Bombyx mori: one gene and its partners. The protein of the gene in region 2 binds, or shares a complex with, the protein of the main gene of each other region. Links are inferred from orthologs where the notes say so. Each region holds a gene or a part of one and is shown on either strand. Other genes may lie near its edges. The genes, in order: RNA polymerase II-associated factor 1 homolog, RNA polymerase-associated protein Rtf1 and parafibromin.

What was found.
Region 1: RNA polymerase-associated protein Rtf1 (region 2) and RNA polymerase II-associated factor 1 homolog share a complex: the UniProt entries of both Caenorhabditis elegans proteins name them as parts of the PAF1 complex. The link is inferred for Bombyx mori from reciprocal best matches to the Caenorhabditis elegans genes rtfo-1 and pafo-1.
Region 3: RNA polymerase-associated protein Rtf1 (region 2) and parafibromin share a complex: the UniProt entries of both Caenorhabditis elegans proteins name them as parts of the PAF1 complex. The link is inferred for Bombyx mori from reciprocal best matches to the Caenorhabditis elegans genes rtfo-1 and cdc-73.

The regions. Positions count from the first base shown.
Region 1 is NC_085120.1:5,063,816-5,067,182, forward strand, and holds the end of RNA polymerase II-associated factor 1 homolog, read left to right. Parts: intron 1-1,548; coding exon 1,549-1,740; intron 1,741-2,422; exon of another isoform or gene 2,423-2,626; coding exon 2,627-2,683; 3' UTR 2,684-2,772; downstream 2,773-3,367. UniProt on the Caenorhabditis elegans protein: Component of the PAF1 complex which is a multifunctional complex involved in transcription initiation via genetic interactions with TATA-binding proteins, elongation and transcription-coupled histone modification.
Region 2 is NC_085130.1:8,014,632-8,018,295, reverse strand, and holds part of RNA polymerase-associated protein Rtf1, read left to right. Parts: intron 1-234; coding exon 235-345; intron 346-2,227; coding exon 2,228-2,361; intron 2,362-3,453; coding exon 3,454-3,562; intron 3,563-3,664. UniProt on the Caenorhabditis elegans protein: Component of the PAF1 complex which is a multifunctional complex involved in transcription initiation via genetic interactions with TATA-binding proteins, elongation and transcription-coupled histone modification.
Region 3 is NC_085121.1:7,754,960-7,757,464, reverse strand, and holds part of parafibromin, read left to right. Parts: intron 1-120; coding exon 121-252; intron 253-1,038; coding exon 1,039-1,213; intron 1,214-1,389; coding exon 1,390-1,507; intron 1,508-2,177; coding exon 2,178-2,319; intron 2,320-2,505. UniProt on the Caenorhabditis elegans protein: Component of the PAF1 complex which is a multifunctional complex involved in transcription initiation via genetic interactions with TATA-binding proteins, elongation and transcription-coupled histone modification.

The DNA of each region.
Region 1 (3,367 bases), on a different chromosome or scaffold from region 2:
GTAGGACCTCTTGTGAGTCCGCATGGGTAGGTACCACCACCCTGCCTATTTATGTCGTGAAGCAGTAATGCCTTTCGGTTTGAGTGGGGCAGCCTTTGTAACTATACTTGAGACCTTAGAACTTATATCTCAAGGTGGGTGGCGCATTTACGCTGTAGATGTCTATGGGCGCCAGTAACCACTTAACACCAGGTGGGCTGTGAGCTCGTCCACCCATCTAAGCAACAAAAAAATAATTAATAAATGTATGTTTGTATGTTTGTAACTGACTTCTTTAGACGCTTAGATTTTGAAGCCACTTTAAACGGCCAGATTACATTCAAACTTTGTAGATTTATCAAGGACTGATGACAATACACTAATTTGATAAGATTATTCCATTATTCAATTTGCAAAATAAGATTTTTGCCAGTTTACATAATTTTTATTTATAATCGATAAGGCAGGAATTGATGTTAAAGTATTTCATAGTTTTAAAAATACGCTTTTATAGAAAATTTTACTAAAAAATGAAAAATAAATAATAGTTTAAAAAAATAAAAAACACGCTTTCTATAAAATTCAACTAAGAAATCATTCAACTAAAAAAAAAACCACGCTTTTTTTACAATAAAATAATTTTTTTTTACTCTATTTTCAATTTAAATTTATTTTCTATTTTTTAGTTGAATTTTATATAAAGCGTGTTTTTTAGTTTTTTTAAACTATTATTTATTATTTTTATTTCAATCCTTTGCCTTTGACGGGCCGAGTCTACGGATACACCAGTGCTCACTAATCTTATAGATGCCAAATGGTGAATAGCATTCCTGGTTACATGAGCTCGAAGTCTCAGTTGTATTGTACTTGTGGCAACGTTCTAACTGTCGCATGGGGGTCGTTCAAGTATTACGTAAGCACTATAGGGGGCGGGGGCGTCTCTGCTTCGCTTATTTTTGATGACATGGGGGTGGGGGGTCCAGATGGTGATTACGTCAGCAGTAGCTATTTACTTTTTCACACATATTGGCAACCTACACATTGTCTATGCTTGAAAACGAAACGCATTTTCGGGGATTCCCATAAATAATGGCTACGTTTAGGTACTCGCTTGGAACCGAGGAGGAGAATTATCGCGCCGGGCTCAGGGCTTTGCTTACTTTTGCTGGCAAGGGGAAGGGGGTGTGAATAATAGTAATAAATCTGCTTACGTAATACTTGAACGGCCCCATGACAGTTTCGCCGCCGAAATTGGTTGGTGATGGGTATTGTAAGTTCACTCAGGTATCATCCCGAACATCCCATCAATTCGAACATTTCTGAATTAGCTGATTAACTTAAATAAGAATAACAGCTAATAATCCCTCGGATTTTATTTCAAGTATTTCATCAAATAAGTGGTTTTCGTATCTTGAGTTTCTCCAGTGCTGCATAATGTCCATTGCTAAGCAAATCATTATTCCACTTAGAAGACTTTGTAGACGTCTATGGGCTCCAGTAACCACTTAACACCAGGTGGGCTGTGAGCTCGTCCACCCATCTAAGCAATAAAAATAAAAAAACTTCCAGGGTTCGAAAGCCAGCTCTCGGGCGTCATCGCGGGCCAGCAAACGCTCCTCCCGTGCGTCGTCCCGGGCCTCGCGAGCTTCTTCGAGAGCTTCAGGTTCCAAAGCTTCATCCAGAGCTAGCTCTAGAAGGAATTCGGGATCGGCTAGCGGCTCCGAAAAGTCTCGAAGTCGCTCGCGTAGTGGTTCGAAACAGGTTGGTTCTTTATTGATTTGTGACTAACACAATACATTTTTAAGGCTGCCTTATCCTTGTAGTAACGGAATCTTAATTATATCGGTCTGGCCTTATGACAAAGACCTTTTTCTGACACTATCAGCTCTTTGAAGATGATAATAATATAGTCCCCACCTATCCTGGTGAAACTGGAAAGGCCTCAGAGCCACCAGTAATCCTTCAGTCATAAATAAAGATGATATTAGTAGTAGATTTATCTTATCTTTATATTATCTTTTATTATTATTATTATTTATTTATTTATACTTATTATACACAAAAAGAAAATACAATAAAAACAGATTTAAAGAATGTCTAAATACTATGCACAAAGGCGAGCTTAACTCATTCATGAGTTTTCTTCCAGCAAACCATTAGCAGAGAGAAATACGATGTATTAGTTATCAATACGTGAAGCAAAAACTTTCTACCCCTTTTTACGAAAATCGCGCGGACGGAGGAGTATTAAATTTTCCTCACTTATAGAGAATATAGAGAAGGAGTGCAGAATATTAATCTTTTTTTAATTATGCATAAAAAATAGATTAAATCAATTAAAAAAAAACATGACACAACTAGCATGTATTTGACACACACACGCATACTCTGTGTTTATTGTCAAACTTTTGTTATTGTTTAAAGTCTATGGTCAAATTGAGAATAGATTAATACTGTATGTCTTTAATATTATTTGTCGAAATCTGTGATTGAAGAAATATATCAGTCTTTGACAATAGAACCCTATGTTCTAATTTATGATTTCATTCATTCATTCATTTAATACATGTTGCTGATATGTTAGTTGTAGAGCGGCAAGAAGATTGAATATATTGTTATTGATTAAATAATTTCTTTAATTTCCCAGGGTTCACGTAGTGGGTCAGCGTCGAGTGCATCGTCAAGACATAGTGGTTCTGACTGAAAGAAGAATATGTCGGATATACTTTAACATTGACCTTGTGTTTTAAACATATGTAATTTATCCCGAATAAAATATCCAAAAATAATGGAGATCCTTTTTTTTTTTTATTAGTAGTGAATCCGGGCCACGCTTTGCTGTGAGTTACTACTACAATATAACGATATTTTTTAAGGCGATGTCGCAGTCGTGCCTGTATTAATGCTGGTGGCAAACAATTTGATCATTTACTGTAAGTCTAATAATGCAATAAATGTAAAATCGTTTGTGCCATTTGTTTTAATTCGTTTTTCAAGAACAACTAATTCATTTTGGCACAGTAAACATTACTATCAAGGACAATTTATTAAATTACTTCTTGTTTAGAAATAGTACTATTTTGTTGTCTAGTTTACTTAGAGTGTTCATACCATTTGATATCTTGGATAGTTACGTCAATTTAAAAGTTGCAATAATATCGTCCGTATTTTTTGTACCCCACGAAAATTTAAAGTAAAAATCATTCAAAATTATCGAGAAAAGTATATTTTGATTGATTTTTGTGTATAAACTACGGGCATTTGGGATTTTTAAGGGTTGTAGTGGCTAGTAGTGCAACTTGCCGATAAAAAAAAAAACAGAAATATTGAAAAACTGTGGTCATGGTCCTCCTCCTCGCGTCGTTTTCCTCATTACTGAGGGTCGAGA
Region 2 (3,664 bases):
AACTCGGCATACTTCAATCAGTTAACAACTGCTCAATTCATATCATACCCTGTGCCTATGCTAGCATTCTGGACGATTTTTGAACTGTTATTTAGTGCTGAAAGTGGGACACTTTTTCAATGATATTGAGACGGCTCTCCTTACTTCTACCCTCCATAATTGAAAACAAAAACATGTCATATCAGGTCTGTGTAGTGTAACAACAAAAAATTTCATATACTGTCTGTGTCTCAGCTGCTGAAGCAGAAGCAGAGAAAGAGAAGGAAAAAGAAAAAGAGCCCCAGAATGAACCAGAAGAGACGCCTCCTAGTCCTGGAGAAATACTGGACGAAAGTAAAGATATGGGTATGCTCCACAAATATTATTCAATCAGATAATTTCATTTCAATATGATAATCAATATGATAAACACTAATACCGAAACTGCTTTGAATGTTGTTGATGTAATGAACATTTTTTTTCTTTTTTAATTGTCTTCGTCTTCAATGCCTTAAGGCGAATTTACATTACGAAATTAGTGGCATGACATTAATTTCGTGACATTAGTTTTACCAACAGTTTCACGTGTAATTGAATACTTTCGTAATGCATGCATTAATTTCATGCATGCAAATTAGTTTCGTGCCCTGCGCGATTTTTTGGTGAAATTAGTGTCATGCAACTAATTTCATAGTGTAGACGCGACGTGAAAACTAATGTCGCGAAAGGGCCTGCGCTGTGCGGACGTGTGTATTGTTAGTTCGGACGCGCTTTAAGCGTTGAAAATGGCAAACCAACGATGGAGTACAGAAAAAAATATAGATCTTATTAATGAATATCAGCGACAACTACAGTAAAAAATCAAAATTATCTTCACTCATTCGAAAATAGTTTTTATAGCTCTCAGGATCTTCATCTGCTAATTCAGAGCATTGCACCTAAATGCCTTCTTGGTAACCATCCTCAAATCTACCAACGTCTTTTTTTCTTGATAATCTATTTTTAAGTTTATAGGTATATAAGCATTTCTTTAGCTACATTGAATATAGCAAATTATAGCTTTGATGCTGAAGGCGCCGTGGTTACTGCGATACTGTGGATTTCGCGACACTAATTTTTTAACGAAATTACTTTCGCATATATCGAAACTACTTTCGTGAAACTGAGTTCAACATGCATGACACTAATTTCGTAATGTAAACTCCGCATTAGGCATTGATTTTTACGATGTCACAGTATACACGAAAATGTCAGATGCTTAGATAAAAAAATATTTAAATACAAATAAATTTCGTCAGTTTTTTCATACGCGATAAAAATAAATACCATTTTATTAGTAGACTAGACCAGGGGCAGCGGCTTGGCTCTGCCCCTGGCATTGCTGAAGTCCATGAGCGACGGTAACCACTCACCATCAGGTGGGCCGTATGCTCGTCTGCCTAAAAGGGCAATAAAAAAAAACCCGTCCGCTTCGCTGAGCATTTAAAATTAACATAATTATTTCTCATCCCCACAAAGATTCTCATCATTAACGCCCCCGCAACTGGTGTAGGGAGTCCAACACTCATATAAATATTAGCCTATCCATTTAGTACGTGTATTTTCTACACGGATACCAAGTTTCAAGTCAATCGGATGCACGGTTCAGTAGTTATAACGGAACATCCGTAAAAACCACTGTGGATTTATATATTAGTGTGGGACTTGCTTAAAGTAAATAATAGCAGCTTATAGGAAAAGTAACAAAATTTGTTAGAATAACACGTTGTAATCGTTCACACTCTTACTATGCCCGATCGCCATCTTGACCATTTCCCCTCCGTCCCTTTCTTCCTCATACATTCATCCCTTTCACTCGAAAACGTTCCGTTTCCCACAAAAAAGGGTAAATTACCCCAAAATGGGGTAAAATGAAATTTTGGGGGGTAAAAATGAAACTTGTGAGTAAAAAGTATTTAAAGAAGTAAAACTTCTTTAGAATCGTTGTGATTTCAAACTCGATGAAACGAAATGAAACGAAAGGATTTTTTTTTAAATTTTTTTTCAAAATTATCATGGGGTCTATAATATGAATGCTAAAAAGAAGCGATTTTGTTTTTTTTTGTTCTTCGCCATGGCGTAATATCAACTTGCACAAAAATATTTTGGGGTAATAATTAAAAAAAAGTTCCCCGACCGCTGGTATAGATAACAATTTACAGCTGAACAATAAAAAAATATCGTTAACTAAACGTGTGATGTTCCACAGAGCCCTCAGAGAGATCAGCCTCTCCGCTGTTTGGCTGTAAAACAGAACGGAAACGCGCCGTGGATGACAAACGACAGAATGCTATGGCCGCGTTGCGAGCTCAAAGGGCTTCGAGAGTGCAAAGGGCGCCGGCTGTGAGTTTCGCTTTATTTATTACACTTGGGCCATTACTGTGACACTACTAGCTGACCCGGCAGACTTCGTAGTGCATAAATCGCCAAATAAAAGACCTAAAGTTTTATATACAATAAAACAAAAAAGGAATCCGTCCGACGGGGGGGGGGGGGGGGGACACATCAAAGTAAAAACAAATATTTTTATTTCATTCCGAGAATTTTCATATTTATCTAAACCTTCTCTGGACTTCCACAAATAATTCAAGACCAAAATTAGCCAAATCGGTCCAGCCGTTCTCGAGTTTTAACGAGACTAACAAACAGCAATTGATTTATATATATATAAAACGTACTTAATAGCCTGACTTTGTATTGAATGAAATAAATAACTAAAAATAAAAAATAAAAAAACCTGCAAACTGAGTCTGCAAAGTTTCTCTGAAAGATCGAATCAGAAACGAGGTGATCCGAAGTTCTGAACCAAAGTTATAGACATGGCACAGTGAATTAGTAAGCTGAAGTGTCAATCGGCTGGCCATATTAACCGATAACCGTTGAGGTAAACGCGTTCTTGAGTGGAAAACGCACTGCAGGACGCCCTCAGGCTCGGTGGAGTGAGGATCTGTGCAGGGTGGCTGGTAGGAGCTGGATGAGAGAAGCCAGGGATCGTGCTCAATGGCGAGCAATTGGAGAGGCCTATGTCCAGCAGTGGACTGATTTAGGCTGATGATGATGAACTGAGTCATAAAACATGACGTCAAAGGAATATGACAATGCCGCCCAACTCGATATCGATAAAGGGTTGCCACTTGGGTTTAGGTAGTCAGATGACGTGGTCGATGATGACTTGTACATGTAAATTGTAGGTTGTAGGTGTTTGTGTTAAAATTGTGTTAGTTATCATTAGACGATCCTACGTGAACCATCCAGGCATTATTCGATAACTTAACATTGTTAAAATTAAATTGTTTTTCTATTGTGTTATTAGATATTTGCAAAATGTTCAACATCAAATTTGTTGAAATATGGACCTTTTGATTTCCTTTCCTTTTTGTAAAATATAACCTAAGCCTAAAATGGAATAAATACAATTATTTATTTATTCAACAGGACGCTGAAGCAGATTTAATAGGCGGCTCGAGCAAACAGACTGTGAAACTTAAAGCTTCAGATATTTATTCGGACGACTCCGGCTCTGAATCTGAAGATAATAAATCAGGTGTGGCTCAAATTTACATCTCAAGCCTCGTGGTCTGATGGGCTAGGAACATGATATATGTCTGATCAAGTGATGAATCCAACACACGGTTCAAATTCTGGG
Region 3 (2,505 bases), on a different chromosome or scaffold from region 2:
ATAATCTTAAACAAATCACTGCACATTCATTCCCTAATAATGTATAATCTTTGTAAATATCTATTAAATTCAATATTTTGTAATATGTTTCAAATTCTAATTTGATTTATTTTTCCTCAGAAACGGAAGGCTTCAAGATTGATACCATGGGTACCTATCATGGTATGACATTGAAATCAGTAACAGAAGGACCAAGTGTACCTGTAGCAGCTCGAGCCCCTCAAACGCCCAATCATCCAAGACAAATGCCACGTAAGTACGCAACTTAAATCAAATCCAAAAGTTACCATATATTAAATCTTCATTTTAGTCTTGCTCAAAAACATTTGTTTCAGCAAAATGTGAGACTGTTGAAGTCTATTTAGGTTTTTTTTTTTTTATTGCCTTTGTAGGCAGACGAGCGTACGGCCCACCTGGTGGTAAGTGGTTACCGTCGCCCATGGACTTCAGCAATGCCAGGAGCCGATATTTAATTATAAAGTATGTTAATTCTTATAGTACGAATTGTCGATAGATTGACTCTCAATTAACAGATATAAAGTGGGGAGCGTGGGAATAACGCCTATTTGCGCAGTTTTTTAGGTATTAGATATCAACCTGTACAGAAGTGTCTAAGCGCGCACATGTTATAACGTTTTTAATAAGTATATAAAATTTATAAATAATCATTTAAAATTATTTTTCTCTGTATTTAGAATTATTTTTTATATATTTTTTTAAGTCAAAGATTTCTATAAGGGACTTTTTTCAATAATCCTTCAGCAATTTTTGCAAAATATGGTCAGCACTAAAAGGGTAAACAAAATCATTCACCTGATAGCAATGACTCTATATAGTCTAGTCAGGGGCTATAGTTGTTTAGGGATGGCTTTTATCTGATTTAAACTTCACATCACTGATATTAAGTTTTATTAGGTTTTATTATTTATTTTATTGTGAACAAGCACAAATAAATTATGCAATCTAATTTAAATGAAAATTAGTTTTAGTCGATCAATGACAATCGTGTTTTAAATGAGGCAAAAAATATATTTTTAGAAAACGGTGCTGTTATGCCTGGCACGCCTGGTCGCAGGGAGCTGCTGCCGGTGGCCGCAGCCCGACTTCCCGCAGGAGGAAAGCGGCCCTCACGCACTCCCATCATTATCATTCCCGCCGCAGCTACGTCACTCATCTCTATGTTTAATGTTAAAGATATTCTTCAAGATCTCAAGTGAGTATTTTTATTTAGCTCACATAGTTCTCAAAACCGAAGATAATATTGAAGTCCTGTCTACGTTTTCGACAAGAGTAGTCGTGGGGTAGGGAAAATGTTGTAGGAAAAATAAAAGGTTCAAAGTTAATAAATAAGTAATAAATAAATTTTAATAGTAATAATTTTTCTTTCAGATTTGTAACTGTAGAGCAAAAAAAAACTGAGGGAGCAGTTCGCGAGAATGAAGTACTTTTGCAAAGAAGAAAAGGTCAAACTGGCGATCAAATACCAACGAATGCCACTACAATAACGGTTTGTTTCAATAATTAGCAACGAGTTTTCTTAATTAGAATATGAAAATATATTGTTTATTATTGTTGAGCTCATAGTCCACTAGATATTAAACCGGAATCTTAGTCCAAGAATATTAGAGAAAAACAACTTAAACACATTGTAATATGCTTGGTAAGATAAATGGAATAGTTAACTTTAGCATTTCATTTCTCGCGCACTGCAAGTGTAGTTAAAACTTTGCGGCAGATAGATACATTGTAACCTCACCAAATAAGTATGATCCACGTGTATGTTCCACAAATGTATCTATCTGCCACAAAGTGATCATATTTGAGTGTTAACAACGCTTATAACATTATAACAATATCACAGTAGTGGATAGTTGACAGTATTGTCAAGTAAACGAGTTGCTCTTATTCAAACTAAAATCGTATAGAGTTTCTTTGTTTACTTTTGCCATTACTGGTGTTCATAATGGATAACCAGCTACTCTCTGTGTGACTATCATCACTATAACTTTGACCGTGGGAAACGAATCTTGCTGTGGCGTCTAGGTTCCGGTAATCACTAATGCTGACTGGGCTCTAAACATGTCTGGCCCACAAAGAAGTGAAACAAAAAATTAAAGAGACATTGAGGAGTTATCTACCTATGCAAACTTACTTCTAAATCAGTCACCCACTTTAAGGTGCCATATCGAGTTGTAGACAATCCTGGAAGATTATCAGCAGCAGAATGGGACCGTGTTGTGGCGGTATTCGTGCAGGGACCTGCCTGGCAGTTTAAAGGATGGCCGTGGGACGGAAATCCAGTTCAAATCTTTGATAATAGTAAGTACAACAGAACTCATATTGTTATGCCCACAAATGGCAGCTCTGAGGATTGTACTTTGATTTCTGTAAATATTATATCGGTTTAATACTTACACTTACGAGACACTTTCATCAATGTTGATTTGATTTAATAGTTTTTTATGTGATTCTCGAAGGAAGAAATATACACTACCTTTGACTTCC